Linked DNA regions of Caenorhabditis elegans. The protein of the gene in region 1 purifies or fractionates together with the protein of each later gene. This does not show direct contact. Each region holds a gene or a part of one and is shown in the gene's direction. Other genes may lie near its edges. The genes, in order: hrpk-2 and Y43F4B.10.

What was found.
Region 2: the proteins of hrpk-2 (region 1) and Y43F4B.10 fractionate together in Caenorhabditis elegans (co-fractionation; one large-scale study listed by BioGRID). This does not show direct contact.

The regions. Positions count from the first base shown.
Region 1 is NC_003281.10:7,980,440-7,998,978, forward strand, and holds hrpk-2 (KH domain-containing protein hrpk-2), read left to right. Parts: upstream 1-6,681; 5' UTR 6,682-6,689; coding exon 6,690-6,735; intron 6,736-6,780; coding exon 6,781-6,858; intron 6,859-6,903; coding exon 6,904-6,990; intron 6,991-7,036; coding exon 7,037-8,113; intron 8,114-8,164; coding exon 8,165-8,326; intron 8,327-8,422; coding exon 8,423-8,530; intron 8,531-8,576; coding exon 8,577-8,687; intron 8,688-8,733; coding exon 8,734-8,993; intron 8,994-9,151; coding exon 9,152-9,508; intron 9,509-9,555; coding exon 9,556-9,844; intron 9,845-9,925; coding exon 9,926-10,011; 3' UTR 10,012-10,174; downstream 10,175-18,539. Other genes in the region: Calpain clp-1, read left to right, coding at 730-831, 926-1,049, 1,234-1,371, 2,292-2,420, 2,468-2,910, 2,953-3,111, 3,182-3,444, 3,505-3,636 and 6 more; npr-17 (putative G-protein coupled receptor C06G4.5), read right to left, coding at 10,449-10,604, 11,188-11,324, 11,381-11,597, 11,917-12,009, 12,304-12,389, 12,860-12,946, 12,990-13,170, 13,705-13,856 and 2 more.
Region 2 is NC_003281.10:13,310,236-13,325,610, forward strand, and holds Y43F4B.10 (uncharacterized protein), read left to right. Parts: upstream 1-3,832; 5' UTR 3,833-3,836; coding exon 3,837-3,890; intron 3,891-3,950; coding exon 3,951-4,093; intron 4,094-4,202; coding exon 4,203-4,332; 3' UTR 4,333-4,486; downstream 4,487-15,375. Other genes in the region: slc-36.1 (Amino acid transporter transmembrane domain-containing protein), read left to right, coding at 421-480, 1,863-1,968, 2,021-2,084, 2,611-2,717, 2,784-2,915; dph-7 (methylated diphthine methylhydrolase), read left to right, coding at 4,899-5,178, 5,224-5,318, 7,149-7,309, 7,477-7,651, 8,057-8,275; F53A2.11 (F-box domain-containing protein), read right to left, coding at 9,030-9,825, 10,521-10,686, 10,735-10,856, 10,900-11,066, 11,501-11,599, 11,646-11,657; F53A2.1 (DUF19 domain-containing protein), read right to left, coding at 12,196-12,582, 12,923-12,992, 13,118-13,262, 13,334-13,449, 14,036-14,118, 14,194-14,604.

The DNA.
Region 1 (18,539 bases):
TATTCTATATTTCGAAACCCATTGAATGTGGCAATTGTTTTTTTGGTGTGTTGTGCCTCACTCCAATACCAATTTCCGTGACGATTAAATTGAAAACAAGACCGAAAAACCAAAAGAGAAACAAAAAAATAAAATCTAGTTTTTTTTTCTCCCCCTGTCACATTGAATTTATATTTTTATCCGTTTCCAATTAGGTTCATCCGTTTTGTTTGCCATCGATAGCTAATTGATGACAATCAAATAAATTAATAGATAAAGTTTCTATTTCCATTAACTCAAATTTCCTTTATTCTGTCAACTAAATTTATGTTGTTTCGTGCTCAGAAAATATGAGAAAAAAAACAGAAAAATGCATGCACAAAAAAGTTGACGCTAATCTTTGTCTCCCCAACTCCGAAGGCTCAAAGAGCACGCAAAGGGCTTATCGATTTTAAGAATTACACATTCCTTAAAAAAAGCTCTAACTCTAAAAATTATTTTATGTTTCCATTCTCAATTGCTGTATCCCCAAGAAGAGGTAAAAATTTGTTTTTTTTTTCTCTATGTTGTGAGCCTGATTGCTCTGCTTCTTCTGACTTTTTCGTTGAACAAAAATCAAATTTTATTTCAAATTCATAGATATTCTGTTTTGCAGACCCCGAAAATCGTGCGGCAGGCTCAAACGAGGAGGAAAACTATCAAAAAAAGACAACAACCGACGGTTTCACAGCAAAAGCCGACGGAATCAAAATGGCTGACGATGAGGAAGAAATTATTCAAAAAGTCGAAGTGAAGCCGGATGAATTCAATGGATTAATTGGATCAATTGCTGGTAACCTGATTAGAGATAAGGTTAGTTTAATTTTTGGTTAGAATATTTTTTTTTTAAATTTGCTACATAGACATGTTGAAATTTAATTGCAACCTAAAACTAATTATCTCACAGGTCGGTGGCGCCGGTGGTGATATCCTTGGAGGCCTTGCCAGTAACTTCTTCGGAGGTGGAGGCGGCGGAGGAGGCGGCGGCGGAGGCGGAGGTTTCGGTGGTGGAAATGGAGGATTCGGTGGAGGTATTTTTATTTTCAAAATTGTCAGACAAAAATTCCCTAAAAATTCAAGTTCCTTTTTTTGTGTTAGAAAACATTTAGATTCACTCAAAACATCACCGTGTGGCTTAGATCAGTGAATTTTTTCTCACACCTTATATGTTGTCCATGTTATCGTAATCCCATTTGCTGCTACAGTAATCCATAGGTTCGAACTACGATCAAGGCGGGAATGGGAACAGCGGAGATCAACAAAAAAGGAAACGAGACATGGCGAAAGACTTGATTGGAGGAATATTCGATAATGTGGTGAATAGGAAAGGAAAGAAGGAGCAGGATAACTATGGTAGCGTTTGTGTTTTTTTTATTTGCTGTTTTGTGCTTTCTATAGATTTGATTATATAATTAGCTTAATCATTTTCTCAAATTTTCTGAACATGGTCTGTAATTTATTATCCTCGGTTTTTTTTCTAGTTTTTCATTCTTGGACGTCTGGGAATGTGAAGCTTCTTTGTCTTTTGTTCCGTAATTGTTCACCAATCTTCAAGCTTTTTTCTTGAAAATAGCGCAATTCCACGCTCATAGCACAAATTCATCAACTTATGTTAAAAATCAGGTGGAGGTCGACAACAGCCGCCACCAAATAACAATTTTGGTGGTGGAGGTGGATCTGGCGGTGGCGGAGGGTTCGGAGACATTCTTGGGGGACTTTTGAGCGGCGGAGGTGGCGGCGGTGGACAAAGAGGCGGCGGAGGGCAAAATTACGGTCTGAGAGTTTGAAAATACAATAAGTTAAGCTTCTACGCACTCACCAACACTCACTTAAATACTAACAACACCACTCATTTCCAAAATTTGATTTGAAAAATATGGCTATTTTGAAAGAAGCTTTAGACTTTTAAATTCTCCTGTTAATTCGCTTTTGACTGATGATTCGTGATTTTCCTTTAAAAATGCAATATTTTGCATGTTTGCTGTGATATTTCGTGTGAAATTTAGGCGGAGGCGGCAGTGGCGGTGGCGGTGGTGGAAACAACATCGGAAGCTTGGTCGGATCACTTATTGGTGGTGGTGGTATGCATTAGGATTGTAGTGTGCATGTAGTATCATAAATGTTGTGTTAATATTTTAATAGTTAATAGAGCTGATGATCAGAACATTTATAGATCTTATTGACACTTATTTATCACATCTAATTGTATTTCATTTCTGAACTATCTACACAAATGTGGCACCCATGAAATTCAAGCTAGAGTAATATTTTAGGCGGAGGTGGTAACTACGGCGGTGGTGGTGGAAATCAAGGAGGCGGCGGAGGCGGTGGCTTTAACTTCAATGATATCGGTGGACTCATCAACAGTATGGGAGGTGGTGGTGGTGGTGGCCAGAGACAAGGTATAGAACATTTATTAATATACTTTGAATAATTTGAAAAATTTTAGGCGGTGGTGGAGGAGGCTTCGGAGATATCCTCGGAGGAATCGGATCTCTCATTGGCGGAGGAGGCGGTGGCCAGTACAATGGTGGAGGTGGAAATGTGAACCCGAATAATCTCAACGGTGGAATGGTGAATGTTATCGGAAATCTCATTGGAGAAGCTGCTCACAGATTCCTCGGCGTTGATCCGGGTACAGGCAGAATCATTGGAGCTGTCGCTGGAAATGTGATTATGGGACTTGGTGGAAAAGATAATTCTCTTGGAAATATCGGAAAAGTTATTCTGGACAATATTATTTCTGGAAAGTTCCGTAGGGATGTTGATCCATTCGTTCGTCCAGGACCAGATCCAGATAGAGGAGGTGGTGGAAGTGGTCCAAGCCCTATTTCACCAAGACCAACTACCGAACCACAAGACTTCTATGAGCTCAGAGATCAATGTCTTGAGGTGAGTGTTCAAAACATATCATTTTTAAAATAATAAATTCAGAGCAAACGACTATTCGAGGATCCACAATTCTTGGCCAATGATAGTTCGTTATTCTTCTCGAAACGTCCACCAAAACGTGTAGAATGGCTTCGTCCTGGAGAAATCACAAGAGAGCCACAACTGATTACAGAGGGTCACTCGAGATTTGATGTTATTCAGGTTAGCTCTTGGATTATTTTCAGAATTTTTAATATTTGAAATGTACTATTAAAATTATATATTCTTTCAGGGAGAACTCGGAGATTGTTGGCTCTTGGCTGCTGCAGCCAATTTAACTCTCAAGGATGAGCTCTTCTATCGTGTGGTTCCACCAGATCAATCTTTCACTGAAAACTACGCTGGAATCTTCCATTTCCAATTCTGGCAGTACGGAAAATGGGTGGATGTTGTTATTGACGACAGATTACCAACGAGTAACGGCGAGCTTCTCTATATGCATTCTGCTAGTAATAATGAGTTCTGGAGTGCACTTTTAGAGAAGGCATATGCAAAGTAAGTTCGGACTTTTGACCGACATTTATGAAGGAATAAACTAGTTAATTAATTTTCAAGATTGTTCGGATCATACGAGGCTCTCAAGGGAGGTACCACATCTGAAGCACTTGAGGACATGACTGGAGGACTCACCGAGTTTATCGACCTCAAAAACCCACCAAGAAACTTGATGCAAATGATGATGAGAGGGTAGGGATTAAAGTCTAATTTACATTATTATCCAAAAACGAGTTGTGCCAAACTACAGTACCCGGTCTCGACGCGACAATTTTTGTTAATTATGAATGTCTGTGCGCCTTTAATGAGTACTGTAGTTTCAAACTTTCGTTGATGCCGAATTTTCATTGATTTTGCATAGTTTTTTGTTAGAAACAGAAATAAAACAATTAAGAACACACAAACTATGAAAAATCGATAAAAAATTCCACAAAAATAAAATCTTGAAAGTAAAGTACTCTTTAAAAGTGATCCCCTATTTATATTCGACAAAAAGTTGTCGTGTCGAGACCGATTACCGTATTTTTTGCGCAAATTTTAGCGTCCATGTATTAACAAAATTTCAGATTCGAGATGGGATCCCTATTCGGTTGCTCCATCGAAGCCGATCCAAATGTTTGGGAAGCAAAAATGTCGAATGGTTTAGTGAAAGGACACGCCTATTCAATTACCGGATGCCGAATTGTTGACGGACCAAATGGACAAACTTGCATTCTTCGAATCCGTAATCCATGGGGAAATGAACAGGAATGGAATGGACCATGGTCAGACAATTCACGCGAATGGCGAAGTGTTCCAGATTCTGTAAAACAAGATATGGGACTGAAATTCGATCATGATGGAGAGTTTTGGATGTCATTTGATGATTTTATGAGGAATTTCGAGAAAATGGAAATTTGCAATCTTGGACCAGATGTTATGGATGAAGTCTATCAAATGACTGGTGTCAAGGCCGCTGGAATGGTTTGGGCTGCAAATACTCATGATGGTGCATGGGTTAGAAATCAAACAGCTGGAGGATGCAGGAATTACATCAGTAAGTAAATATTCATCTACAAATATTTTCAATTTTCAATTCAGACACTTTCGCCAACAATCCACAATTCCGAGTTCAACTTACCGATTCGGATCCTGATGATGATGATGAACTCTGCACTGTAATATTCGCCGTTTTGCAAAAATACAGGTAGCGCCACCAGATAGGGAAATCATTTTTATTTTTCCAATTTTTAAGACGTAATCTGAAACAAGATGGACTTGACAACGTGCCAATTGGATTTGCTGTCTATGACGTGAGACTATTGTTATTTTGAAGAAAAAACAGGATTTGGCCTGAAATTTACGACAATTCTAGAAAACCTCAACTTTAAATAGAATAGTTGGAACATTTGAAAACTTAACTTTCCCCTAAAACTACTAAAAAATTTTTAAACCTTTTAAATACGCTAAAAATTTACAGATGAACAATGTAAGTTGGCTAATTGAAAATCTTGTGAAACCGGTAAAATTGTCCAAATCACGTCGTTTCTAGTTCAAAATAACCCACATTCAGTGAACCTCACCCACTTTGTTTAGTGTGTATTGTTTTATTGTTGAAGTACACGTGCTGATTTTTTGACATTATCTAACCAATATTTATGTTTTGTTGTTTACTATTGGATGTGTGAAACGTATCAAATAACAGAAAAATGCAGTCATTTGAAAGAAAATTGTATTTTCTGTCTCTGTGTTCGTCCGAACCAAAGATTTTTTCAAGCTTTATAAAATTACATACTATTCAGGCCGGAAATAACCGTGGTCGACTGAGTAAACAGTTCTTCGCTGCCAACAAATCCGCGATGAGATCGGCCGCTTTCATCAATTTAAGAGAGGTAATTTTCTATCTTCAAAATTAAATTTTAAAAACCAAATTTTCAGATGACTGGCCGCTTCCGTGTACCCCCGGGCAACTATGTTGTCGTTCCATCAACATTTGAACCAAACGAGGAAGCCGAGTTCATGCTCCGTGTCTACACGAATGGATTTATCGAGTCGGAGTGAGTAGTGAATATCAAGATTTTGTACTTTGTTTTGATTTAACAGAATATATAAGCTGAGCTTCTGCAGGTACTAATAATTCATTGATTCAATATTTTCCAGGGAACTGTAAGCCATTCTACTCACAACTACAACAACAAATAGCAAGATTGGATCTTCCTATACCTATTGTTTTGATCCACTTCGTTATGTATAAATCTCTCTGTCACTCGTTCTATTTTCATCATTAACCCCCCTACCCTCTCTCTCTTTCCTCAATCGTCCCTCTTTTCTCCACTCTTTCTGCCTAATTTCCCGTCGATGTTTGCCGGATCTGCTCTGTAGAATTGTAATATTTTGATATGCTTGTTGTTTCACTGTATTCTTTTTTTTTGCCTTTTCCAGAGTAAATAAATTTTCTAGTTCTGATGAAAGATATCCAAAATTTCCGTCTTTTCAAAAATCAAGCCTGTCAAAAGATTAAGCATACGAAGTATTTTTAAATGAACAAAATTATCTTATATTCTTCAACACTTAAAAAATATTCACAGATTTCATTAGTATTGACTCTGTCGCTACGAATAATACCACATACACTAAACCATTTCTGATCTAGCTTTAAAAATTTCTCTTTTTTTAAAAATCAATTAGGAAAGATAAAAATATATTTACCTCGAGTAGTGGGAGAAACTGTAAAAAATCACGTTTTACGGTGAAGTAATAATACTTTTTTTTAGCAGCTTCGAACAAAAGTCTTTTTTCCAGCCCAATTTTGCATAAAATTTGTTTTTATTAAAATGAGAAAAAATTCATTTCTTTAATCGATTTCCAAAGCTTCGACATTACCGTAATCTTTAAAGGCGCACATTCTATTCTGCAGTAATCGTATCCTTCGTGTCGAGACCGGTCGGTACCGTATACTTTGGACTCACTAACTTTTTTTAATTTTTGGGTTCAATTTCATCGAAAATTTTTCCTAAAAGTTTATTTTGTTCATTTATTTTTCTCACTTAAACATTTGTAAACGCGCACTTCATTGCTTTGATGCGAGGTACGCAGAATGACCCTCACAGATTCCCTCCTTTTCTCTCTCTCGAGAAACCCTTTTGAAACAATTTTTGAAAATACAAACGCTTTTTTGAAGTATCAAAATCCGCGTGTTCTAGAATTCAATTCATATGTTTGTACTTAGAAAATAAACTTAAATAATTCTATTTTCAGAGCGAATCATGGCCAAAACAAAAGACAAATCGATATTTGTATCCAGCGTGGATTGTAGGTTCTTTATTTGCTTTTTAAACAATAATTATAGTTTTTCAGCCGATTCTGATATAGAGGAAATAATTATGCCTCCAAAACCGCCAGTAGAAGTTATTCAGTTGGATGATTCCGATGATGGTGAATTCGTATATTCAAAAACAAGTAAATTTATGATATTTTCAGAGTGTCAAGACATTTGTAAACCTATTTACAATAAAAAAGTTCACAAAGACCCGATAGTGCGTGTTTCTTATAGACAGCGAATTCCAGGTGAGTTGCACACTCTTCAAGCTTCACATACAATTCACTATTTCAGAGTCATACTTCCCTGGAATATCAACATCGTTGATTAATGTCCAGAGAGAACACAACAATCGTAGCAAATATGACACGTGGGGCAGTAATTCATGTTCGGAACCCCGAATTTCTATAAGTAATATTGAACGTTTGGAGAAACCAAGTTATCATGAAGCGCGAAGAGTTCCAGTCTTTGAACGTCTAGAGAGAAGTCGAGAAATCAGCAACGGAAGGAACAACCAGAATCCCATTCGTTTCAACCATAAATTCGTTCCACCCATAAATAGACAAACACCCCTTTTCAACAATCAACAACTTTTGGTAAATGTTCCATTCAACGAACATCATCCTACCTTCTTGGAGCCTAGACCATTTTATCGATCAAATGTAAATGAGTACAATGCAGGTGGACTGAATCGAGGAAGTTTCCGAAAAATGGGACGATTGAATATGGAAATCGTGCGAGATAATGATGATTTCGAAGAACATTTTTTGGCGCCAAACTTTCCTGCAAAATCTGCATCAATTGATCGTAGAGTAGATGACTCACTCAGTAGTAATTCTTATTTGCGATCTGGAATGATCATGGCAAGTTCTGAACGATTGGAGGATCCAAGGTTTTCCGGAAGACTTCCAGTCTTCGCACGTCAAATCAACAATCAGGAAATCAACAACGACAACTTCTACCAAAATTCCATTTGCTACAATCATAATAATTATCCGTCCAATTTGGAATCTAGAGTTTCTTTTCCGTTTGAGGCAAGGCATCATGATGCAGATGGACTGAATCGTGGACGTTATCAAGTAATGGAGCACGTGAATATGGGAATCATGCGTAATAGTGAAGATTTTGAAGATTACGACATCACTCAGACTGATCAAGATAATCATTTCTACAATGATAAAGATTCTGGAAAGCACCACCGTCATCGTCATCGTTCCAAGAATAACAAGAAACATAAAAAACACTATGACCGTAACGAATCTGGAAATTCTTCTGAATGTCGCGAAGAAGATGATTATGAGATAAGCAATCCTTCTGAGAAGCGTCACGAGAGGAAAAAGAGACAGCGTAGCAGTCACAGAAAGGAATCTGGTTAGTTGTGTCGGAGATAATTATTAAACCAAGAATATATGTATATTTCAGCTTGTGTGGACGAAGATAATTATATTCTTGATGAAGATCGTTTTTACCAACAAGAGTCTGATGAGTACCACAATAGTCTTGAAATGGAGAGAGAATATGAACATGGAATGGATGTCGGTGTCAAAAAAGAGCACAGTTACAAGTGCGATGATATTGCACGAAGTGAGTTGGAGTTTTGAAAACTAGGAAGCTAGCATTTATAAGAAAAAGCTTCTAGTTAAAACATTAATTTGAGAAAAATATCTACTTTATTTTCAGATGCAAGAAAACGCGCACGGTTGACCGACGACGATATGGCTCGACGTGAAGAGTTGTTTAAAGAATGGTCATATTCGAAGGAAATAGTTGATGGTGTAACACAGCTCTGTAAGATTTGACATAAGCTGATTTTGTTTTCAATATATATTTTCAGTTGGTGGTCCACCTAGAGAGTCCGAGAGACATCAGAAAAAGCAGAAAGAGCTGGTGTTTGAAGCGGATCGTACGGCCATGCATGCTCTTTCCATTCGCTCTGGAGCTCTCGGTTGGTTTATCTCACTGAATCCAACGTTACAGTTTCTTTTTTTCAGTAAAGGCACGACTGCTTGAGATCCACTATGCAACAGGATGTCATCTTATTTTCCTGGAGGAAGTTAAACGCGGTGGATATACATACGTCGAACTGAAAGGAGATCCCGAGCACATCAAGAATGCTCAAAAAATGATTGATGATATGGTTATTGATGAACACTACATTCATGATGGTCGAGAAAGTATTGTATACTTTTATAATGCTCCCCACGAATTGCGTAATACAAGAGGATTCGATTTGAATTGCAGAAGCATTGAGGTGAGATTTTTTGAGTACATATTATTTAAATTTGGCAATTTTCGATGCAAAGCTTTGGAAACCAATATTTCTTGAAGGCACTTTTCCCTCGTTCGAAAATATTTAGGGCGTCAAAATGTACAATTTCAATATTAGTTCTAGGGGAAAATTTTTTTCAGAAATACTGTGGAATCATCATCGAGAAAATGAGAGAAGTGTTTGGTATCGGCGGATATGTGTCAACCGCACCACTGAAACTTACTGGAAGTGTTAATTCCATTCACATGGCTAGAGAAACGATGCAATCGAAAACAAAGCGTTTCCTCGATGAAGAGAAGTTCAAGGAGACTGTAGAACATTGTACGCCAATAAGTTTCTACCGAAAAATCATTGGACGTTGTGGAGAGAACTTGAAAACTATCGAGAAAGTGACTCGTACTGCCATCGTTTTCAAACGCTCATTTGATAATAATGAGGCGTGCTTTTCAATTCGTGGAAGAACTGATAACATCAAGCAGGCTATCGAGAAAATTGAGGTTTTTAATTTTAATTTTAGACTTTCAGTTTTAGTATCTATTTTCAGGAGATCACGCACGAGAATCAGCCAGCGGATGATGATCCGGGTATCTTCCAAGTTCGTGTTCCAGAAAACATGGTTGCCCGGCTTATTGGAAGGCATGGCGTAGAAATCAACAGAATTCGAAGTGAATCGAAAGCAAAGTGCTACTTGAATGCTATTAGAGGAAATCTCGATGATAAGTTCATGGTTTGTAGTGGTGGAGTTGAAGAAGCTGCCTATGCTGCATATTTAACCAAGGTTAAAATAGGAATTATTGACCCGAAGGTTATTCAATTCAACTCGGATGATTTCAGTGAGTTGACATCATTTAATGTTATTATTTTTTTCTTTTTCAATTTTCGGAAACATTACTAGTTAATTTTTCTTTTTTCAGACAACTTGTCAAAAGTGAAACCGATGGAAGATCCGAGACTCGTTATGCTCAAAAAAAGATACGCAGAAAGAAAAGAATGCAAATAAGTGAATTTTTTAAATAGTTTCAAAGTATTTCTCTTGATTTTGTACTGCATTTTTTATCCATTTTTGTTTTTTCTCCTGTATTTCCCCAATCTTTTTTTACGGTTTTCTTACATACTTTACTGGTTCTCTACTCCCGAATCTCAATAAACGACATGTCATTGTTTTTGGACGGTTGAAGTATATTGTCTGGTACCGTCTGAATGACCATGGTACCTCATTCAGACGTACCATCTGAAAGAACTTTTTTCGCAAAAAATACTTACACTTCACACAAACACTTTATACTTTATTTCAAAAAAAATTATTGTAAAATAGCAAAACCTGACAAATGGGGAAGCAATCACGAAATTGAAATTACATAGAAAAATGAAATAAATATTTCTTTTTAAATTAAATGTGTGATAAATACCCGTTAATTTAAATTATTATTTAAAATTTCAAAGAAAAGTTGGATTATGATTACTCAAAAGTCGAACATCTACAACATCAGTTGCAACATCATCATCAATTGTTGACGTGGCAACAAGTACTTCATTATTTCCAATCGTTTTTGTTGGAGCTGCAGTGGCTATTGAGTTCATTGAGCCATTTACCTGGGAAAATGTGGCTTTTAATTTGTTCCGTATAAGTGTTTTACCCAGAAGCGAAATTTTTACGATTTGACACCAAAAATACGGTAACCGGTCTCGACACGACATTTTATTGTAGAACACAAACAAGTGTGCGCCTTTAAAGTGTACTGTATTTTCAAACTATCCTTGCTGCGAAAATGCCATCGTTTTATTCATCAATTTATTTGTGTTTTATGTTAGTTTTTTTAATAAATCAATACAATTTTATCCAAAAACTATATAAAATCTACAAAACTTCCGCATCAATGAAAGTTAGAAATTACCGTACTCTTTAAACGCGCAAACTTTTCTGTATTTTCCACTAATTTGCCGTGTCAAGACCAGTTACCGTAGATTTAGCACAAAAATTGCAAAATTATATGTCAGAGTAATACTGTCTGCTCGCCAAATATCTTACGAAGACGGCTGAAGATGTGAATTTTCGCCATGCCTAAAAAGGTCTCGTAAATTGACACTGTATTTGCTGTTGTGCGTAAAATATGGCGAAAATATCATTTGAAAACTTCTGACTAGAAAAATTTTACCACAAAAATTTCAGATGTACCTGATAATTAGAGTTAGTATTCAAATTTGTGATTTTCTTTTCCAATAAAGCTGTTGAAGCTGTTGTTGTTGTCGTCTTTTTTGTAGAATTTGAACGATTTGATCGATATCTTTGTTGAAGTTGGCCATTTAGTGCACCTGAGATTGTTTTATGAATTTTACTTTTTATGAAACAGTTTCTAGAAAAACCCTACCGTATAAAATCCAATTAATGGCAGAGTTGGTGAACGGTAGAGCATGAATAAAATACATAATATATACAAAAACTGGTGGAACACTACTCGAATTTGCTGAGTTTTCGAGATAAACTGCGAATAATGTAGCCATCCAGAATGGGGTCCAGCATAAAAAATAGAAACATGCAACTGCTAGAGTGTACAACGAAATGTGCAAAAATGGGATTTGAGAGCTCTGAAAATTTTGGAATTTATTGGGGTTTTGATTCAAACGCAAGAGCAACATATAATACTGATGGTGCCTCAGTTCTCGGTCGAGACGGTAATCTTCTTTGTGTGCTGCTACCGTCATACTATACCCAGGTAATCTTTTAAATATATTTTTTGTACTTTTTCTATGTTTCTTAATTTTTGAATTTTATAAGGCGGATTCCAGGCAAAACAGAAGGAGAGGCAAGCGGACGTGATATGTGACCCTTGAAGTGTATAGTCATAGTTCTTTGTCTTAGATATATTTGTTCTATTTTGTAATCAGAGCGTTCAAAATTTCATACCTTAAACGTCCTTGTGTGTTCACGGAGTTTGCTGAGAAGTTTCGTATAGAAAAAGGCGATGAGAACCAATGGAGTACAATAACAGAGAATGAACTGAAATTTAAAAAAAATGGTAAGTTTTCTTGTATTACAGTAAGCCCAACTGTAGAAATTGGTTTCAAATTTCAAATCTGTTCAACGAAATGTTTTCAACTTTCTTACTTACCAAGTAAGTAAGTTCAATTACTTTGAGTAATTTTATATACCAATTTGTTTCAATCATTCCAAGGTAGAACCGTGTGAAATAATATTTTTATCTCATTTTGAAACTTCAATTCTTTATATACATACATTAAAAAAATAAAATTCAATCATTTTTGTGAATTTTTAAATATTTTTTATAAGTACCTGATAAATCGTGAAAGCTGTGAACATTTGTGAGTCGATATCCACTGTGCATTTCTCAATTTTCATTCTTGTCAGCATTCCGGGTGCTGGAAAATTTCAATTTAAAGTGGTAAACTCCCCCACCAATCTTCCCATATTTTTCTTCATCATTCTGCCTAGAGAGCATTCAATTAATCCCGAAAGTATTAGTGAGAACTAATTGAAAACCAAGTAATACACTAAAGAGAGGGAGGGGAAGAAAATTGAATGTAAAATTTGAAAATAGAATAGAAAAATATTGGTTAACGGCAAAAAGAGATAAATAGATCAATAGGAATGAGAAAGTTTGACAACATTTTAGTGTTTTCTTTGTTTAATAGTTCAAGTAAACGAATAACATTCAAAAATTGTTATTCCAATTTATTGAAATTAAAATTGACATTTGATTTCTGATACCAAAGATTTTTTAGATAGTAGAAAACCATTTTTTGCAGTTAAACTTTGTTAGAAATATATTTTTGTCAAAAAAAATTCTCAAGAACTTATGAATATTTCTAGAAAAGCGTAAATAATGTACCTGTTTCCTTCGCATAAAGTATAATTTCCCGTGCAGTAAAAGACCATAATAACGGGCAGAGTGTGATGAATGCATATACGGCAAGAACTAAACTTTAATTTAGGAACAAATCATTTATGAAAACACTCACCTAAAAGTATAGTAATTGCAAAATTCCTTGATCTCAACCGTTTTCGCTGTGGATGGCAAACTCCGGCGTACCGATCAAAACTCATTGCCGTCAGAATGAGAGCACTCAGGATTTTACCGAAATTCTCGAATACTGCATGAAGTTTACATGGTATTTTGCCAAACATCCAGAAACCGAGAATCTGGAAAATGAAAGATTATGTAAAATAATAATTATTTTTTGAAGTCAACAAACGTTTTCTGACAGCTTTCTTGTTGCATTCACACTACCTACGAATTTCATGTTTCTTTAAAGGTGGAGGCTATGTAAAACTTCTCAGAAAAATTTGGACTTTTTATAAAAATTTACCTGCAAAAGGTGGTGTAATTTCACTGAACTCAATTGTCACCAGGACCAAAAAAAGTTTTCTACAAGTTTAATATTGTAGTTGTGGTTCAATTCATCGTTTAAACATTCTACGGATTTGAACCTGCACAAATGCTCCGAATTACCAAAAAAGTTTATATTTTCAGAAAATATAAAAATTTTAGAGAACGAAGTGTCGAAGTGTATTTAGAATAAATTTCCACTGACAATCCTTCACATTTCAAAACTTTCAGCACTCATAAGTTGTACCATAAAAAATAATTTTCTCCATATATATTCACAAGCGCTTGTACAAGCTACTTATAATTTCTAGAACACTATTTAACTTTCCAAAAACCAATCGATTTACCTGATCAATAACCGTAATTGGAAGTGACAAACAAACTCCGAAGTCGACACAAGAAAGCACAATGACATATATTAATGTGTTATCCAACGTGGCTCGAGACGATCGAATAACATGGTATATTGTAGTTAACACTGCCACATTTCCACAAGTACCTAAAAATTGTTATTTGTCAATCTAGACACACAAATGATTTTAATATACAAATCAAATTTTTTAAAACAATTTATTTGATAAATAAAAATGCCAAAGTCCAAAAACATTGTCACGTAAATACCCACCTAATAAAAATAAAAGAAGGTATGAAACTGCCATTATTACAACATGTAGATCTTCGTGATTGGGAGGAGGTAGAACATCATTCACTATATTGTACTTTTTCTGAAAAATTTTTACAAATTGCTGATGAAAAATTTGTCTGAATCTGGTTTGGGCTCAACCGAACGTCCTGGGTCCGATGTTTTCGGATTCAGGACGTCCGGTAAAATCGTCACAAAATGGAGAGTTTATTTCCAACTGGGTTTTGAATCTAGATCAAATCCCTATCTCAAATGTTTAAATGTTTCTGGCATTCTTTGTGCCGGTTCAAAAATCTTATTTCCAACGTTTTTGTCTCTAAAAGTATCACATTTTTAAATGACTTTTCTATAGCTTGATTTCGTATTTATTCCAATAAAATGTCCTTCTGAATCTCTTTTCTCTAGTCTTCAACACAATGAGCATCAGTACACGAATAGAAAAAATGCACATGGCGATTGGCATAATTGATGGGATTCCCGATTTGGTGGAAGAAATGAGACAATGAGAAACAGGAGATAGAAATGGGGAGAATAATTTGATTTTAGGCGGCGGGAAATAAAATGGAAAAATGAGAATTGAAGGATTTGGCATGGAATCATGTGTTTTTAGATGAAAAGTGCTTTTGTTCCACAACCAAAAAAGTTGAAGAAAGCGGAAGGAAACTAATATGAATTTTAGTCTAGAGGACTTAATTTTAAGTTTCTTATGACATCATTCAAAGGTTGATATAAACCCATGAAAAGTTATTTTTGAACTTTTATGTGGGAAAAGTTTTCAAAAATCCAGTTTCAAAATTATGACAGGCGAAAACATAACAATTACTAATTATTAATTTTTTAAAAAATTTAAAAGTTTTACTCAAATATTTGTATCACTGTGGGTTAACAACTTCTCTACTGATGATACTCCACCTTTAAATATCTCAATCCGTTCCAATAAAAACCATGTATCCGTTCCAATAAAAACCATGTACATGCTAAAGCCTATATTCCGTGCCGAATCAACAGCAAATCGTTGCTCAGAATACTATATTCTAGTAGATGACATTTCAAGGCATAAGATTCTGATGACATTTGTTGCAATATTTTAGAGCGATTGTAGTTTAAATTTTGAGTATACATAATTATTCAAAACATAAATATTGAAGAGAAGCATCTTATGCTACAAGAATTATGAGAGGTTTCTAACACATTTTTTAATTTTCAAATATTTCAAATAACTTGATCATCGACACAAATTGAATGTTAATTGGATATGTTCGGATACTCCCAAAATTCTCAAAGTCATGAAATATCGCTTTTTTTATTACATTTTTTTTAGTTTTTAATTTTCAATAAAGTTGTGATTATAAAAACCAAAACCGATGCGTATCAGGTGAAAATAGCAAACAAACAAAAATAATATCCAATTTAGCAACAGAAAAAGTAATCAAGTTTTATTTATTAAAAAATAACCAACATTTTTTCCAGTCTTAGTTTTGGCAGCTTCAACAAATTACTTTTTTCTTGAACAAGTGCCGGGCCATACAAAATTTTAGGATTTTTGAACATATAAATTTATCGAAGGTCGAGAATCAAGTCCAAAATTTCTGAGCTATAATTTCAAATTGAGTTATCACGGTTGCAAAACAAATGCACAGAGTTTACAGTCACCTAGTTTTCAAATGTAAACCATATTTTCTCTAGTAGTGCTGTACCCCATTGCTCTCGTTGACTTTAGATTTGAAAAAAAATTGTCAACTGAAAAAATAATTTCCAGTTATTTTTTTATAGTTTCGTAAGTAATTTTTGTCGATATCTTCAAAATTAAGCGTTATAAAGTGGAGCAATTTGGTTCAGCACTTATAGAGAAAATACATCAAATTTATTTTTCCAAAAAATCGATAAAACTCACCATATCATACATAATCTGTGTGACTGAATCCAATCCATTTTCTGAATTCATTGATTGATTCAAATACGAATCATCGACATAGTCCACCAAATTTGTAGACATATTTGGTAATCTGCAAAATTAAATGGAAATTAACTATGCCGGAAACATGGGAGCTAAAAGTGAAGAGGGCGTGGTTTCATTAAAGGGGGTAAGCGGATTACGGTAGATTGGGGGAAGAGGAAAACAAGACGACGCGGTTTTTTCAAGAAGACGTGGCAGAAAAATGAAGAGGACGCTCGAGACACGGGGCGACATTGAATTAATTAGAAGTGAATGCAAATGAGAATGATGAAATAAGAGAGTGGAATAGAGGGGAGGTGGAGCCAAATGGAAGACACCTTGAATCTTTAGAGAGCTGTTTTGATTAATTTGTTTGACGACAACTGAGAAATGATGATGATGATGATACTGGTAAAAGGAAGAAGCTAAGAAATTAAGAAGAAGAAAAAGAAAATGAGATGACGTTGAATACGCACCTTTTCTGCAGAATGAAGAGAGAATGTGGAAATTGAGTTTTGAAGAATTTTTGATTTGAGGATATGAGCAACAATTGTTCAGAGTACTTAAGAACTTCGCACTTGGTTTAATGACTTTACCGTGACTCGAATTCATTGTTCATTTGGACTTTGGGTACATCTAGAACAGATCTGAAATCTGACAGGCAGTTATCAAAAACCCCGATTCGGTCAAAAAAGTTCAGTACGTATGAGTTTCGACAATTAAAAAAATATTTAGAAAGATAAATTATGTATTCTAAGTTTTGAAACTAAAAAATAGACTGAAAAACGGAAAACTAGAACACCGAAAGTACCAAATACCCAACTACCATAAGACAAAATGTTCTTTGCCACCATCACCGAACTACGTTCAAAATCTACATGTTTGAAAACTTCTTGCCTCATTTGGCCACTTTAAAAATTCCGATCAGAAAATTGTCAAAAAAAACAAGGATTAAAATTTTTACCGTTGTTTCTGTGTCTACTTTTGCAGTTACACTTGCATGTTACACTGAAAATATTGTATTAATTTATTATTTAAAACTAACTATAAGTTTTACATTTAGACGAAATTAACCAACTAAAATGTATTTATTACTTCGTCCTATATGCGACTGGGATAAAAACTTCCTGGAAACCAAGTTATTTTTGGGAACTTGAATATATCAAATTTCCTGTATGTTTGACTCTCTTCAAGAAAAATGAATGAAAACAGAACCTTCAGAAGTCTGCCAAGAATGTTCAGGAATCATAAAAATCATTTACTATATATAAAGCGCGTGTCCTTCTGTCCCTATGTAGTTTGATCTCTGATCAGAGCAACGAAATTTTGGGAAACCTTATGCTAAATGCGCAGCAGACATCGATCGAGGTGCGCGATAGACACCGTATATCTAATGTGTTTTCTCAAAAAAGTCGGGGGCCGCGCCGTAGGTGCGGTCCACGGCTGGTAAAATTATAAAAAAAGTTCATAACTTCTCAGTATTGTTTTATTTGCAAAAGCCAATGTCAGCGAGTTTATTCTGTTAAACGTTCCCTAATAACCGCACATAATCTCCAATAATTGCACAAAATTATCAGTCATTTATGTTTACAAAATTTTTTAACTAAATACAAACAAAGATGCAAGTGATTCTAAATTTCAAATAATTCATTGCTCATTTCTCTTCCACTCTTGCTCCAATCTTTGATGTTTTGCCCACTTTTGCTGATTGGAAGTATCGGAAGAAGAATCATCAAATGGAATTAATGAACATGACGTCAATGACATAGCAAAATTTAGAGAGTTGAACAATCTCAGAAAGTAGGTAATAGAAACTATTACTATAACTAATAAGATCTCACAAACAAACGTATTAGTTTTGAAGCTTATTAATGTCATGTATATGTTAAAGCCGAAGGAAATGAAATAAATTTTTTTTGCCCACTTAAACATAAAATCTCTATAAATTTTAGCAATATCTAGTTTTTTTCTAAACATTCAAAAAAAAATATTTAAAAAACGACTGAGTTCTCAAAAAATACGTATACGAAAATTTGCAAAGAAACATAAATCTTAAGGTTTTCAAGATTATTTATTATACAAAAGTACATGAAAACTAATTTTTCAAAGCTTACACCTTATAAGAGAATGAAATTAAAATTCATAAGGGATTCAGTACCTGACTGGATTTTGTACACTAATGAGCAAAATTACCAATGTTAAAGGTTCAAAAGATAAGACTGCGTGCTTCTAAGTAAACTGATTAATCATGAAATTCAGAGCTCAGAAATCAAATTATTTGATGAGAAAGGTTTGAAATATTGTGTGATTGCACTAACAGATAAAGGATAAGAAATTCGAGAAACATTTTTTTTAAGTGGGCAAATTCAAATTTCCCCCAAAAATAACCAAGTATTTGTATACTGCTAAAACTATTAAAGTACGTTGAAATTTAAATTTCGGTGATTAGTATTGAAATTAAGTTCCTAAATACACCTAGAAAAAACTAACAAAAAATAATCAAGTGGGCGTGGGAGCTTGTTTCAACTATTGTTTTTGTTAATTTTCCATGCACTTTTACAAAAAACTTTACAGTAATAATTGTGAGCTTCTGTCATTTAATG
Region 2 (15,375 bases), 5.3 Mb from region 1:
AAATGTTAGATTTTCTCTGAAAAAATCAAAATTTTCTGATTTTCTGTGAAAAAAAATCAAAATTTTTCGATTTTCTCTTAAAAAACTTAAAAAATTTCGATTATCTGTGAAAAAAAATAATTTTTTTTTCGATTTTCTCTGAAAAAAAAATTGAAAATTATTAGATTTTCTCTGAAAAAATCAAGATTTTCCGTTTTTCTGTGAAAAAAATCAAAATTTTTCCGATTTTCTCTGGTAAAAATTACAATTCTTTCGATTTTCTCTATTTAAAAAAAATCGGTTTTCTCTTTGAAAGTAAAACTTTCCGATTTTCACTTAAAAAAATATAAAAAATTTTGATTTTCTCTTGCAGAAATTACAATTTTTTCGATTTCATGGGAAATTCCTAATTTTCTTTAAAATTTTTTAATTTTCTTCCAGATATTTATCACTTGGAAATGATGTCAAAGACACAGCTACCCTCAATTTGCCAATGACACCGTAAGTTTAATGATGAAGAGAGAGAGTGAGAGAGAGTTTAGAGAAGCAGAGATAATTGTTTGGACTTTGATCAACTGACCGTTTACGCTTTTGTGTCTGTGTATGTGACTCAATAATAACAGAAGAGAAATTAAATAACAAATGTGTTACGAATTGGGGGCTAACTGAATAATAATATTAAAAAATTGGATTTTTTCAGGTAAAATCGAAAAAATTCTTCGAAAAAGTAAATAGAAAATTTCCGATTTCTCGTTTTTGAAACGATTCGGAGTAAAATCAAAAAATTTCAGTTTTCAGAGTGAACCGAGAAATTGCGGATTTTGCTTAAAATCCCTAGAAAATCTCTTTAAAAGTAGAGAAGTTCGCGAAAATTTCCGTAAATTCAAATTTTTTAATTTCAAAAACAAATTGTGCTATATAAATACGAGGAAAAATCAAGAAAAATCAAGAAAATCAAGAAAAAACCAGTAAATTTAGCTGGGTAACGTAAAAATGCAATAAAAATTTTTTTTTTAATTCTTTTAATTTTTGAGACTGTTTTCAATCATTTAGAGCGAAATTTTTATTCACAATATTGCTATAATTGCTTGGGACACAATTTTATTGTAAAAAAGGCAGAAATTCTTTTAAAAATGCATTGAATACCAGTTTTCCTTGCTATTAAATTTTTTAAAAATTACTTTTTAACAATTTCAGATTCTATCAAACGAATTTGGGGGTTAACTGAATAATAATATTAAAAAATCGATTTTTTTCAGGTAAAATCGAACAAAATTCTTCAAAAAGCTGAAAAATTTCCGATTTCTCGTTTTTGACACAATTCAGAGAAAAATCAAAAAATTATATAACTCAAAAAATGAATTTTTTTAATTCGAAAAACGAAAAGTTGGGGAAACTGTACTTTAAAAAAGAGAAGATGTAGTATAAATATGTGGATTTTGTTTAAAATACTAAGAAAATCTCTTTAAAAGTAGAGAAATTCGCGGAAATTTCCGTAAATTCAAATTTTTTAATTTCAAAGTCAAGAAAAAACCAGTAAATTTAGCTGGGTAACGTAAAAATGCAAAAAAAAATTAAAAAAAAACATTCTTTCAATTTTTGAGACTGTTTTCTATCATTTACAGCGAAATTTTCATTCACAATATTGCTATAATTGCTTGGAACAAAAGTTTTTTTGTAAAAAAGGCAGAAATTCTTCTAACAATGCCTAAAAAATAATTTTTCAAAATTACTTTTTTAGCAATTTCAGATTCTATCAAACGATAAAATTAATGTTCACGAACTGGGGGCCATCAATAAAAAATATGTCAAAAAAAAAAATAAATAATGAAAAAATTTTTTTTTTTTTAAATCAGAATAATTTTAAAAAAATTCAATTTCAGATTCTATCAAACGATAAAATTAATGTTTGTGGCGTGCATCATGATCTCCTATCCTCTTCAATTCTATGTGCCAATGGAAAGAATCGAAAAATGGATTACTAGAAAGGTTTTTTGGAGAAATTTCCATGAAAATTGGTCAAAATTCTTCAAAATTTCAGATTCCCGTCGATAAACAAACATTGTACATCTACATTGCCAGATATTCCGGAGTTATTTTGACTTGTAAGTTTCAAAAAAAAAATATTATTCGCAAAAATTATTTTTTTTTTCATTTTCCGTTTAAAAAAATCTAAAATTGACCTAAATATCGATAATTTAAGTTTTTTTGTTGCGGAAAAATTGTGTTTCAAAAATAATAATCAAATAATAAGTTTAGAAAAAAATCATAACAAATTTAGAAAATTTTAATAAATTTTTAAACAGTTATATTTGGTAAATTGAGACTTTTTCTGACATTTTTGATCAAAAAAATAAAATAATTGGTCTAAAAATCGATAATTATACATTTATTTAAACTTTTTTCGCAGAAAATTGTGTTTCAAATCGATAATGAAATAAAAATTGAGAGAATTTCGGTAAATCCAGACTTTTTCTGAGACATTTTGGAAATATACTATAAAAATTGCACATAAAAATCAAAGGTTTTTTTTCAGGTTGATATCAAATAATTAATTTAGACGAGAAAAAAATTATATAAAAATTTAGAAAAAAACTGATTTTTTCTAATTTTTTGAAAAAAAATTTCCAGGTGCAATAGCTGAGCTTATTCCTCATTTGGCTCTTTTCATCTCATTAATCGGAGCATTTTCTGGAGCTTCAATGGCTCTTCTCTTCCCTCCGTGCATTGAACTTTTGGTAGGAATTTTTGAATTCCAATTTTTTTAAATTAATTAAAAATGAAAAAAATTGAATTTTTTTCAGACATCCTACGCGAAAAACGAGTTGAGCACTGGATTATGGATCAAAAATATCGTTCTTCTCACTTTTGCCTTTATTGGATTCACAACGGGAACCTATAGTGCACTTATCGAAATTGCAAAAACTTTTGCATAGATTTAAATATCTATAATATTTAAATATTTTCAGCGTTTTAGCTGGAAATTCCCAGAATTTTATTGCACCTTTATGGAATTTTTTGGAATTTTTTTTTGTATATTTCGTGTCCTTCCTTGTCGGTTGTTCAATTTGTGATGATGATTTTTTCATATTTTTGCGGCATTTTTTTTTCATTTTCGTTTCATTCCCGAATAACATGTACTATTTATTTTGTTAATAAAATTCGAGCTTCTGTGAATATTTTTTATCGAATTTTTTGAAATATTATTTAAATGTGGTATCAATTTTAACCAATTTATTTAAATATCTCGATTCAATTTTATATTACCCAGCCGCAAAATTTTGCAATTTTCACACTAAAAATACGGTACCCGGTCTCACAACGACAATATTTTGTTAAATACAAACGGGCGTGCACCTTTAAAGAGTACTGTAGTTTCAAACTTGTGTTGCTGCAAATCATGAAATTCCGTACGTTTCAACAAAAGTTTGAAATTACAGTACTCTTTAAAGGCGCACACCTTTTCCGCATTTAACCAATATTTGCCGTGGCGAGACCGGGAAAACCGAAAAATTGGAAAAATGTTTAGAAAATTAACAAAAAAAACTATTTTTTATCAAATTTTATTTATGTTAATGAGAACAAATCATAAGAAACAGATAGTTTTTCTCTAAAAAGAGGAAAATTATATTTTTCCAAAAATCCTTTTTTTTTTCAAAATTTCGACAAAACAAAATTGTTTGGTTTTTCGATTTCTCAAAAAAAAATATCGTAAAAATAACCGCCAAAATCCTAAAGCAAATGTGCTCCATTGAAACGTGTTTTGAAAAGAGACGCAGAGAACGGTGGTGTTCCCGTTCTCTGTATTTTTATTGATTTCTCGCAGTAATTCATTCAACCTATTTTGTTTTAGAAAAATGGCGACACAAGAAGATCTTCAAACGCTTATCTCAATTGTGCCGAATCTTCAGGTAAAATATTTAAAAAAAAATCTAAATATACAATTTTAATTGAAAAAATAATGATTTCAGATGCAAGAAGGCACTCCTTATTACGAAGTTCTGCTCAAGTTGATCGAAGAAATCGGGAAAGACGTTCGTCCAACATATACATTCAATAAGTTGACCTGTGAACGGTTGAAGAGGAATATTCAAGCGGCAAAAGTTCTGATTAGGTAGGTTTTTGAGTTTTTTCGTCGATTTTCCACTCGAATTATAAGTGTCGATCAAATATTTGATCGTCATAATCGAGAAATCAATTGAGAGAAAAAAAATCATTTGCAGAGCGTGTCAACAAGAGGCCGAAACAGACAAAAAAAAGGCAGACGCTGCGATCGAAGCACAAAGAGTTGCGCAGAAATCAGAGACTCCGAAGCCTGAAGAGACATCATCGGAGGCCGCCTCGAAGAATTAATCTTGCTTTTTTATATATGTATTTCAAATTGTATTTATTTTTACCATTCCTGCAAACTGGAAACTTTAATTTTTTTGCTATAATTTCCATCACGATCCTCATGGGTTTTAAATTATTCCCAATATTTTTTCCATGAATATGTGTCTTATTCCAATCTCAATAGTTCACCAATGTATAGACTCGAAATTTGGCGGTTTTGGAGCCAAAACGGCGGTATTTGGTCTCGACACGACAATTTTTTGGTTAAATACAAACTAGTGTGCGCCTTTAAAGAGTACTGTAATTTCAAACTTTGGTTTTTGTAAAATTTTTATCGATTTCTTAACGTTATTCGTTAAAATAATACTTTATTTCTAAAAAACTGAAAATTCGATGAAAATTCCACATCACGAAAAATTTTGGAATTACAGTACTCTTTAAAAGCGCACACCTTTTCGCATTTAACAACAAATTGTTTCGTGTCGAGACCGGACACCGTATTTTTGACGAAAAATTGAAACATTTTACGTTTGAAAACCGCATTTTTAGTAAATTTTCAAAATTACAAATTTTTTGAGCTCATTTAAATGCGATCAAAAAGTGTGAAGCTGTCAAATCGCCCAGCATTTGCTCGTCGGATACCATCAGAGGACACATCACGTGCTTGCGTATCCACGTATCTTCTCGATACATCTTCAGACACTCGATCCGGCTCACTGTGCATTTTGAAGATTGATGAAGCCGACGGGCTACAGTTGGAAAATGAGATTAGCACTTCTGCTGGAGTGTTTCGATTCGATTTCCGAAATCCGTCGACGATAGTTGCAGCGCTAACCGATGGATCACTAGTGGTTCAGAAAATTGAAGGTTTGAATTGTGCCTGAGATTTCAAATGAGCAGGACGATTTTCAGAACCTGTATCATCCGAAACTACACCTGTATCGTCGGATATGCTTTTGGATTTGGGACTTTCGGATTCTTCCCTCACTATTACAACTGACAACAAAGTACTGTGATCTCGCCGGTATTATAGTAGTAGTGGTGCAAAGCACCACCAGAAGGGCGCCATGGGCGTCCATGCCTCAGTGAGTTCCTCCAGGGTAGTAGTAGTAGTAGTGGTGCAAAGCACCGCGATGGATCCGTGGAGGTCCTTGGATCATTGAGATCCGCCTGGATCGAAAGTTCTGGTGGGGAGGCCCAGTGCCTCTGCCACCTTTTTCGGAGTGAGCGGGGGTTGGATAGAACATCTCAGCATGTGTTCCACATTCCCTGTGACATCGCCACACTTCTTGCAGGCTGGCACCGTGTCGTTGTTGATTCTCGCGAAATAGCTTGGGACCATGGTTGAGTGACCGCATCTGATTCTGGCTAGCTCCACTCTTGTTCCTCGCGGCAAGGAGCTTTCCTCACCATTTATGGCGGGGGCAGGGCGTCCAAGTACGTTGTTCGGCTTCTTGCTGTTTAGGAAGTTTTTGATGAAGGTTCGGTGGTTGGACTTCTGAATGGCCTTGGTCGTTGAGCGGGGATTTGTCCAGGCATTGGTGGTGCTGCTCGGATAGTCTAACGGCGGCTCTCTGGGCCTGTTGGTCGTCCTCTCAAGGGGTCTTCTTGCCTTTAGGTCTTTGGATGGGTGGCCAGGGGTGTTCAGTGCTGCAATTGCAAATTGCTGCTTGCGGAGCTCAATTTCCTCGCGAAGAGGAAGCCTCTCCGTTTCCTCATAGATGTGCTGAGTCGGAGAATCACTGGTGAGACCACTGCAGGTGCGGAGGGTCGAATATTTTGGTGGGGAGGCCCAGGGCCTCAGCCACCGTTTTCGGATCCGACCACAATTTTGATGGCGTTAGCGGGGGTTGGGTTGAGCATCCCAACAAGTGTGCCACATTTCCTCTTTGATCGCCACATTTCCCACAGGTCGGTATCGCGAAGTAGCCGGGTACCATCGTGGAATGTCCACATCTCAGCCTTGCTAGCTCCACTCTGCTTCACCCTTGGTAGTGATTTCTCTTCCTCGGCCACCGCTGGGGCAGGGGTGCCCAGCACGTTGTTCACCGGTTTCTTGTTCAGAAATTCCTGCACGAATTTCCTATGGTTTGCTTTCTGGATGGCCTTGGTGGTCATTTGAGGAATTTGCCAGTTGCTCGTGGTGTTGCTAGGGTAATCTAACGGAGGCTCCCTTGGCCTATTTGACGCTCTTTCCGTCGGCCTTCTGAGCTTTAAGTCTTTGGATGGATGTCCTGGCGTATTTATTGACGAAATCTGGAATTGTTGTCTTCTAAGCTCAATTTCTTCTCTCAGGGGCAATCTGGTCGCTTCCTCGTAGATATGGTGTGCTGGGGTGTCACTTGTGAGGCCGCAGCAAGTTCTCAGAACTGCTCTGTAGGCGTTATTATCAAGCCAAGTGGTGCCACGCTGTCCCATGACGGTTTGATCTACAAAAAATGCGGGAATTTTATCCAAAAAAAAAATGACGTCAGCACGTTCTTAACTACGCGAAATCAGTTGAGAACCCGCATTTTTTGTAGATCTCCGTATATCAAGTCAAAATGAGACACTCTGACACCACGTGGAGCTCCAGAGACGCAGAACAACGCGCAAGTGCGCTCTACTGCCAAGAATTGGGTCCCAATAGGTAATGGCGGCAAAACCTTAATTTCGAAAAATCACATTAAAAACTGAATTTTACATCAATTTTGTGTCAGAAAATATGTATTTTTGTTGTTTTTTTTTGGCGCCAATACCTAACGAGACCCAGAGGCGGAGCGTTCTCATTTCGCTGTGGAGCGCGCTTGCCCATTTAAACGTTTTTTTCTCTATTTTTTGAAATCAGTTCATTTCAGGGCCACGCGTACATCGTCGACCTGAACACATCACTCATCGTTTCCACGTGGCTTGCTCATTCGCTTCCGTACGTTCCTGGTGAAGGATGTGAAGTATGGTCTTGTGCGATCAGCAAAGATGCTCAGACAGTTGTAACTGGCGGAGAGGACGGATCAATGAAGTAGGTTTGAAGGAAAAACCAATTTTCTATTTGAATTCCCTCCAAAATGAGAACTGCAAACCAATCAGAAGGGGTGGGCGGAGCAAATCGCTGATTGGTCCTGCAGTTCTCATTTTGGAGGGAATTCAAAATTCAAACAGAGGGGTTTTAAATCTTCAAATTTTCAGACTCTGGGATGCTCGCAGCCGAACTCAAACCGGTCAATCAAAAATTTTCGAAGCCGGTGTTGTTTTTGTTGATTTCCCGGCTTCGAACGAAGATCAAATTCTAACTGGAAGCTATGACGAGCACGTCCGGATTTTCGATCGAAGGAATTTAAAAACTGTGCTCAAAGAGAAAAAGGTATGATATATTATGGGAGCATAATATTCTGAGAGTGCGTGTTGCACAACATATTTGACGCGCAAAATATCTCGTAAAAAAACTACTGTAGCTCTTGTGTCGATTTACGGGCTCGATTTTCTCGTAAATCGACACCAGCGCTACGAGATATTCGCGCGTCAAATATGTTGCGAAATACGCAACCTCAGAATTTCGAAAAATTGAACACTATCTGTGCCACGTGCAGGATCTCATATCGCCACGTGTCACCAGATTCTACGTATTCAAAATAAAAAATCCAGGCCTTTCAGGTGCGAATCGACTTTATTTTACCGTCCTTCGCGTTTATAGACCTAACAATTTATTGGTTATTTTGAAAATTTCCCCTAAATTTAACGAGAAATTTAAATTATTTTCCAATTACAGCTCTCTGGTGGAGTTTGGAACATTGAACAAGTTGGCTCAGAGTACTGTACTTCCTGCATGTACGGTGGCTACAGTATTCTGAATTCGGACACTCTCGATATTGTCCACGAGAATCGGGATGTTGGATCGAATCTTCTGTATGGAGCAACAAAAATGTCCGCGAATTCGGTGCTCTTTTGTACTTTTAATGATTATTTGGCTGTTTTAGACGAGTATTGATGAAAAATGTTGAACGCCGGTGAATTTGTTAAATTAGTGATTTTTTGCTTGTTGAATTTAATATAATAATAAAAATTGCGTTTACAGAATTTATACCTTAGTTGGAATTTTTACAAGATGAGGGTGTTAATAATAACAAAAAAATTGTACAGCAACTTTCGCGATTTTTGCGCGAAAAGTACGGTGTCCTGGTCTCGAAACGAGAATTTTTTGCTAAATGCGAAAAGGTGTGCGCCTTTAAAGAGTACTGTATTTTCGAACTTTCGTTGCTGTGGAATTTTTATCGATTTTTCATAGATTTGTTGAGTATTTCCTTTTTTTATAACAAACAAATAGATTTTCAAAAAAAAATTATGAAAAATCGATGAAACCTCTGTGCAGCAGCAAAACTTCGAAGCTACAGTACTCCTTGAAGGCACACGCGCGTGCTGAGACCGTGCAACAATCGCAAAGCTTTGCGTGTGGGTAATATCTGCATTTATTTTTAAAAAAAGTTTATACATTAATTGAGCAATTTTCGGAAAGTTTCAGAAAAAGTTGGGGTAAAGAATTTATAAATTAATTTTAGATAAATCGTTGGCCGAATTGGGCTTTTCTAGGCCAAGTATTTAAAAACAGTAAACTAATCAATTAAATGTTTGAAATGCATTAAAAATCCAGTATTCATCATTCCATCGTGTTCCTTGAAAAACTTCTTCAAATAACGTCGTTGGTAGAAAAGTTGAAAGTCAATTTTCCGATTATTGGTAGAGTTTCACAAACGGAACATCTTTCCATACCAGACAGTTACACATCCAAAAGGGCTTTTAATGGTTTCTTTTGGAATATTGAGAATTTCATCGAGATACCAACAATGTTCAGGTTGTTCTCCTACGAGACGTGCGCTTGAATTGAAAATGTGTGGGACTTTTATCGGAATTCTATCGTCTTCTTCATAGTACAATTTAAATGTGACACTTCCATTTCGCTGTTGATTTTGCTCAGTCAACCTAATAAACTTTGCAAAGACTTTGTGCATATTTTCAGGAGCAATTAGAACATTCGTCTCAGAAAGTTTCACAATCATATTCCTGCTTGGGAAGGCCCTTTGAACATTTGCAATTATATTATCATATGGTGAATAATAGTCATAATCCAACTGATCTTCAATGGTAAGTAGAATATCATCCGTGTATTGTAACTTAATTTCCACACTTTCCAATAAATTAGCAGAAACTGGTTCAATGTTCCATGGTGCAACAAACTGAATATTCACTGGATTCTTGAAATTTTCTGGGCACTCGTGAAATTTTTCTGCCATAACATTGTGCGCTCCGAATCGAAAATTAAGGTTAACATTCTTTGCATTCCAGTTCGAAACAGCCTGATGTGTTATTGTTCTCGGCAGTGAGACAATATCTTTGCCATATAGAATGAATGTGAGTGTATCACATGTAATGGGCATTTTAAGAAAGCGATTTATCGGGAAATACACCATTTCTTCATCTTCTTCATCAGTATATATTCGACGCACTTCAAATTTGTCAGCATTCACTATTCCGTGTAGGTGCCTGAAAAAAACTTACAGTGCTGGTCAAATAATTTGTCGAATTATTCAAATGAGCTACTTCAAAACTAGGAACAATATTCTTTAAAAAGTTCAGCTAACAAAAAAATTACATTATTCGTTCGTTTTCATGTTTATTTAATTTTTAATTTTCATTTTGGTCACAGGGAAAATTGAAAAAAAACGCGATCAGCGGATTCTGGGGTAACTGTTTAAAGCTCCTTCTATGATGCTAAAATTAAATTTTCAGAGGGAAACAACGCCCTAAGTTGACAAGGTGCTGCCAAAGTCGTCATAGCAAATATTAGTTAAAATATCAAACGCAAAAACGGGGATTTTGTTAATTTTTTTCATCTTTTCCTCTGTTTAATAATTTTTTAAAATCTTTTTTCCTTTAAAAATTGTTTCAATTTTGATTTTTTTTTTATTGCTGCGTTGCTGATTTCAAAAATAACTCGTTGAAAAAGGCTACATCATGAGTTATTTCGAATAATTTTAACTGATAAAATACTTTCAAAATATTTCTCTAAATGTTGATTGCTGAGCACTGTTTGACAAATTTAAATTAAAAACAGCCGAAGTATATATAAACCTGTCAATTAGAGCAAGTGAATTCTAATAGGGAAAATACGGTAACTCAGTTAGTTTTAGATAACTTGGAATATCAGCGCTGTGAAGAATATGAACCAAAAAACTAACGGCTCAGCGACTTCGAAAACGTCAAAATTAAGTAGTTGTGATCCATGTAAATCTACACCTTCCTGCATTCCAAACCGGATGCAATGCCTGGCAATCCTCTCGGCTTTTAAGTCCCAACCATAATAACTTAAATCAAACATTCCCGTGAATTCCCTTATTCTGTCTTCTGTATTTAAAAAAATGTTGATAGTTTTTTGATAACCGCGAAACTCACCGTTAGATCCTATCAATTCTTTGAGAATTAAACGGTGTAATTGAAATTGTACAACTTTGTCAAAATGTTCAATTTGAACTTGTAGTTTACAGATATTTATTTTCACGCGTTTATTTAAAAATCTGAATCCTTCTGTATTTCGACATAACTTGTAATTAAACTCACTGAAAGTATGCATGTAACTTTAAATTACAGATGTCTTGAGAGTTTATGAAAACTGTACATATGCATGGTAAGTGCTTGTCACAATGCCCAAGGTTATGAATGATTATTTCACTGTGCTCTTTTCTGATTTTGTAAAGAACTGCCAAGTTTAAATGTCGACTGACAAGCTGTAATAAGAAGAACGTTTGAAATTTTTCAGTAATGAAAAATACTGAGATACAAAACGTTGAAACCAACCAAAAATTTGGCAAACCCTTGTGTAAATTCGTCTCTAAAATTACTAAAAAATTTTGAAATCGTCTGAAAACGGACCAAAATATTTAAAAGTGTGCACTTCCCTCTGGGAAAACATAATTATAAATTTTGGAAGTATTAGATAATCAGTCACCTTATATCGGGCTTAAAGGCTATAAACTGTGAAAAGTCGGACAGTTGCATGTTTTATATACATACACTGGCAAAATATAAAAAATATACACTAAATAAAATTAAATTCACAAATTTATGTATAGCTTTTTGAAAACTGGATTTAAAGTTCAAGTTGGGCGTTTGATTTTTCAACTATTTTGCTCTTTTGCTCCCAATTTTTGGCATCACTTACTCTCAATTTAACCAGTGGTTTTGTCTGGATTGACACATGATCTAATATTTTTCCAATTAAAATTTCATTCATAAACACTTGATTGACAATATATGTATTCTGAAAAAATGTTGAAATTCGATTGACTAAAAAAACTTCAACTCACATCTTCAGACATTTTAGTGCTCTCTTAATTTCTGTAGCAAATTGCAATAGTTGCAAGAGAGTAAAGGAAAATGAGAGAATGAGAGAATGAGAGGGCGAGAGAGCGAGAGGGAGAGAGAGACTTCACAAAGAATATGGACTTTTTGAGTTTGAATTTTCCGCCATACATTTTCAGTATTTGAATCAGTGTATTGTAACGGGAACGCCAATATTTGTTCCTCAAAAATTTGAATTTCCAGCCAAAATGTTTTCCTAGAAAATTTGAATTTCCCGCCAATTTTTTTCAGAAAATTTGAAGTTTTGCACTATCAAAAAATTATATGGTATGAATTGCATTTTCAGAATTTATACTTCATTTAAAAATTTTTTACAAAATTAGGAACAAAGGGGGAAATGACACCTGGATGGGATACGGACTAGAAGTTTAAAAAAATCAAGTTCTAGACCATAATGCGGAGAAAAAAAGGAAAAATCTTAACATCTTAAAAAATAAATTAAAGAAAAAAATACACGTAGTCGGATTGGAATAGGCAGATTCAGAACATAAAATTTTAAATACATAGAATCAAAAATCCTAGAACTAAAGTTAACACATATTCAATAGAAAATTGAGATTTCGAAGAATCAGTTAGCTCAGCTGATTGAATTTTTCTCATTTTCTTTTTTTGACTGAGCTTCTGCTTCAATTCCTCATCATCTTCATCCTCACCATCCGCCAGCTCTCGAACTACAACTACCGTAGTTGTTTGCAGTTTGGTTACGGTAGGACGTGGCCGACTTGTTGTGTACGTGGATGTTTGTAATGTTGTAGTTGTTGATGTTACATTATTTAAACTATCAATTTCCTTTTGAAATGATAACAGTTTTTGCGAAGTTCCAGTGAATTGGCAGGCAGGCATTAGGGTGTTTGTGGTGTCTTTTAGGACTCGGTAGATTACCTGAAAGTTTAGTTTTTTTGGAATCTGATTTTTAATTTCATTGAGAATTTTGTGTGTGGGTGCCGAGGGTATTGAGTTTTCAATGCTTTAATTTTTTAGATTTTTCAATTTTTCGATTTTTAGTTTTCAATATCATCAACAAAAATTTGATAAAAATTGCACTTTATTGTTAATTCTCTAAAAAATGTTTTGCTCTTTTTTCGCTTGAAAAAGCAGAAAAACTAGCGATAAGCCGAAAAGAGCTGGAAAATATTAATTTGTTGTTCACCGTCAATGCTTGGGGAGACCCAAGTTAGGCGCTTTTTTTTGACATTGGAGCGCGATTGCATTGCTCACTAACCTGCCACGCAGAAAATCCGCAGTCTTGTTTTATCGGTGACCTTACACAACCGGAGAAGAAGTTGAGAGCTCTAAAAAATCAATAAATATAAATAAAGATGAAGTAAATGAACAACAAAATTATAATGTAAGTTAAACAATTTTCAAATACCCCAATCACTATTTTTTCAGAACTTCATTTCATATATTTACTAACCCACACATCCGATCAACTTTAGCTGGCATAGATACACCTGATTCAGTGTTTGCTGATTCAATTTCTTTAAGCGTCTCATCATGGCATCTTTTAACTGATGGTTTTCGATCCAACTCCATCAAACATTCGGCAGACTCCATAAATGCTGAAAATTATTTCAACTATAGCAAATACTGTGAAGCTTCAGGAGCTTAAGAATTTGAAAAAAAAACCTACTATTATACCCTTCATTACACAAGTATCCATAAGAAGAGTCAATAAGGGAAATAGTTACATGACGGGGACACGTACTTCGATAATCTCGAACACAACTGTTGAATTTGGCAATTAATCTGAATTTTCAAGAGTGTGTTTTTTGGCCATTTTCAGTCAAACTTTTGGTACACTAACATTTTTCTAGCACTTCCGATTTTTTCAAAAAGTTCAGAGCAATTTCGTATGTTAAAACTCCTACAATGTTTAGATTGAATTATTTTTTAAAAATTGGATTTGAAAATTTTAATTTTTTTAAAACTTTAATATCCTGCCCGCCAGGACAGGAACTTACACAGCCAAATTACCAGTAAATGTATTTTTAATTTCATAAATTGAAATTGCAAAATTGATTAAAATGTACGTAAATGCTATACGTAAACCTATAGATTTAAAATGCCAAATTCATAAAAAGCAATAGTTAGATGGAAGGTAGGCAGGTGTTAGGTAGGCATCGTTTGTAATGTTTAAACTATCAAGTGACATTAGAGACTTTAAAAAAAGATCCCTTGGGAGAAAGGGACAGAATTTGAAATCACTGGGTCGTCAAGATTTATGCGTGATTTTATGATGCAACTTGGAGGTTTTGGAATTTTTGTGCTCAGCGAGCAGAATGCCAGTTTTTCTAGGCATCTATTAAAATATTGCCGAAATAAAATTACCTACCTGCAAAGTTCATTGAAAACTCGACCGCCCATATTTGGAAGTGAAAAAGCACTTCCGAATTCTGATCCAGACGTTCGAGAGTCCTGAAAAGTTGGGATTTTTCCTAGTAGGCCTGGCACAAGGCAGAAAGTAGGCATTTTTCAAAATAAAGCTCTCACCTGATTATTCAGAACTTTTGCGTAATCTGCAACAGGTTGAACACATTCCTGAATTTTCGAATTCACAGAATGCGGGCACGTTGTCGATAGGACCCCAGGAATTAAAAGTATTACGAGGTAGCTCCAAAAAATCATTTTAGCATTTTTTTGATATCTGAAATAAAGCGATCGCTGTACAGATAAGAGATTTTTAGGACACAAAAAAGAAAAATTCCCCCAAAAAAATGTGTCACATCTTGCGGGCAAGGGACCCATGGGGGACACCAGTGGCCCGCAAAAATACAAGGACAAAATAATGGAGGAAAATGTTGTCGAGATATAAATATGATGAAGATGAATGTGCTTCTTCTTTCTTTTTTCCATTTTTTTCTTGTCAATCTTCATTCGGGGTAAACAAGAGGGGAGGAGCATGATATGTATAGAGATATCACACAAATTAGGAGACGCAGAGAAATTGCAAAAGGTAGGGCTCCGTGAGGTTCCCATGGTCAAGCATCTTTTCGTGATGGGCACTACTTTTAAACAGGATGTATAGTGATAAAAATAGGAACAGGAATATTAATAAGATAGGCTTAGGTTTAGGCTTTGGCTTTGGCTTAGGCACAGGCTTAGGCTTAGTCTGAGGCTTAGGCTTAGGCTTAGACGCAGGCTTACTTACTTACTTACTTACTTACTTACTTTATAGTAAACATTCAGGCTCAACGTTCGGAATTTTTTTGGCAATGATCAAATCAAGAATAATTGAAAATTGAAACCCATAACTAAACAGGAAAGTACCAAAAAATTTTCCAAATCCAATTTCGATCAATTCCAGGATACAAATATTCTGGAAACTTTGAAAAAGGTACGAAAATTTCAAAGTTCTCCCTCCCTCCTTCCAAATGAAATAGAGCCCGTGTCCATTTTCCAATTAAAATAGACAAATGAGTGACATGTCGTGTGAGGTTACACCTCCCCGGACCCGTTTTTACTAATTTTAAGGTGATAGCAATAATACATATGAGGGGTCCAGGGAAGTTTAGTGACCGAGAAACGACGTCACAGTTGGGCATGGCCTAGAAAAGAAAAATACTCGTCCACAGTGAACAGTAAAAAATATTGTTCAAAATATATTCTAAAATAAACTTAATACACTTATAATAATAATAATAATAATATTTCCATTAAAAATATACATGATGA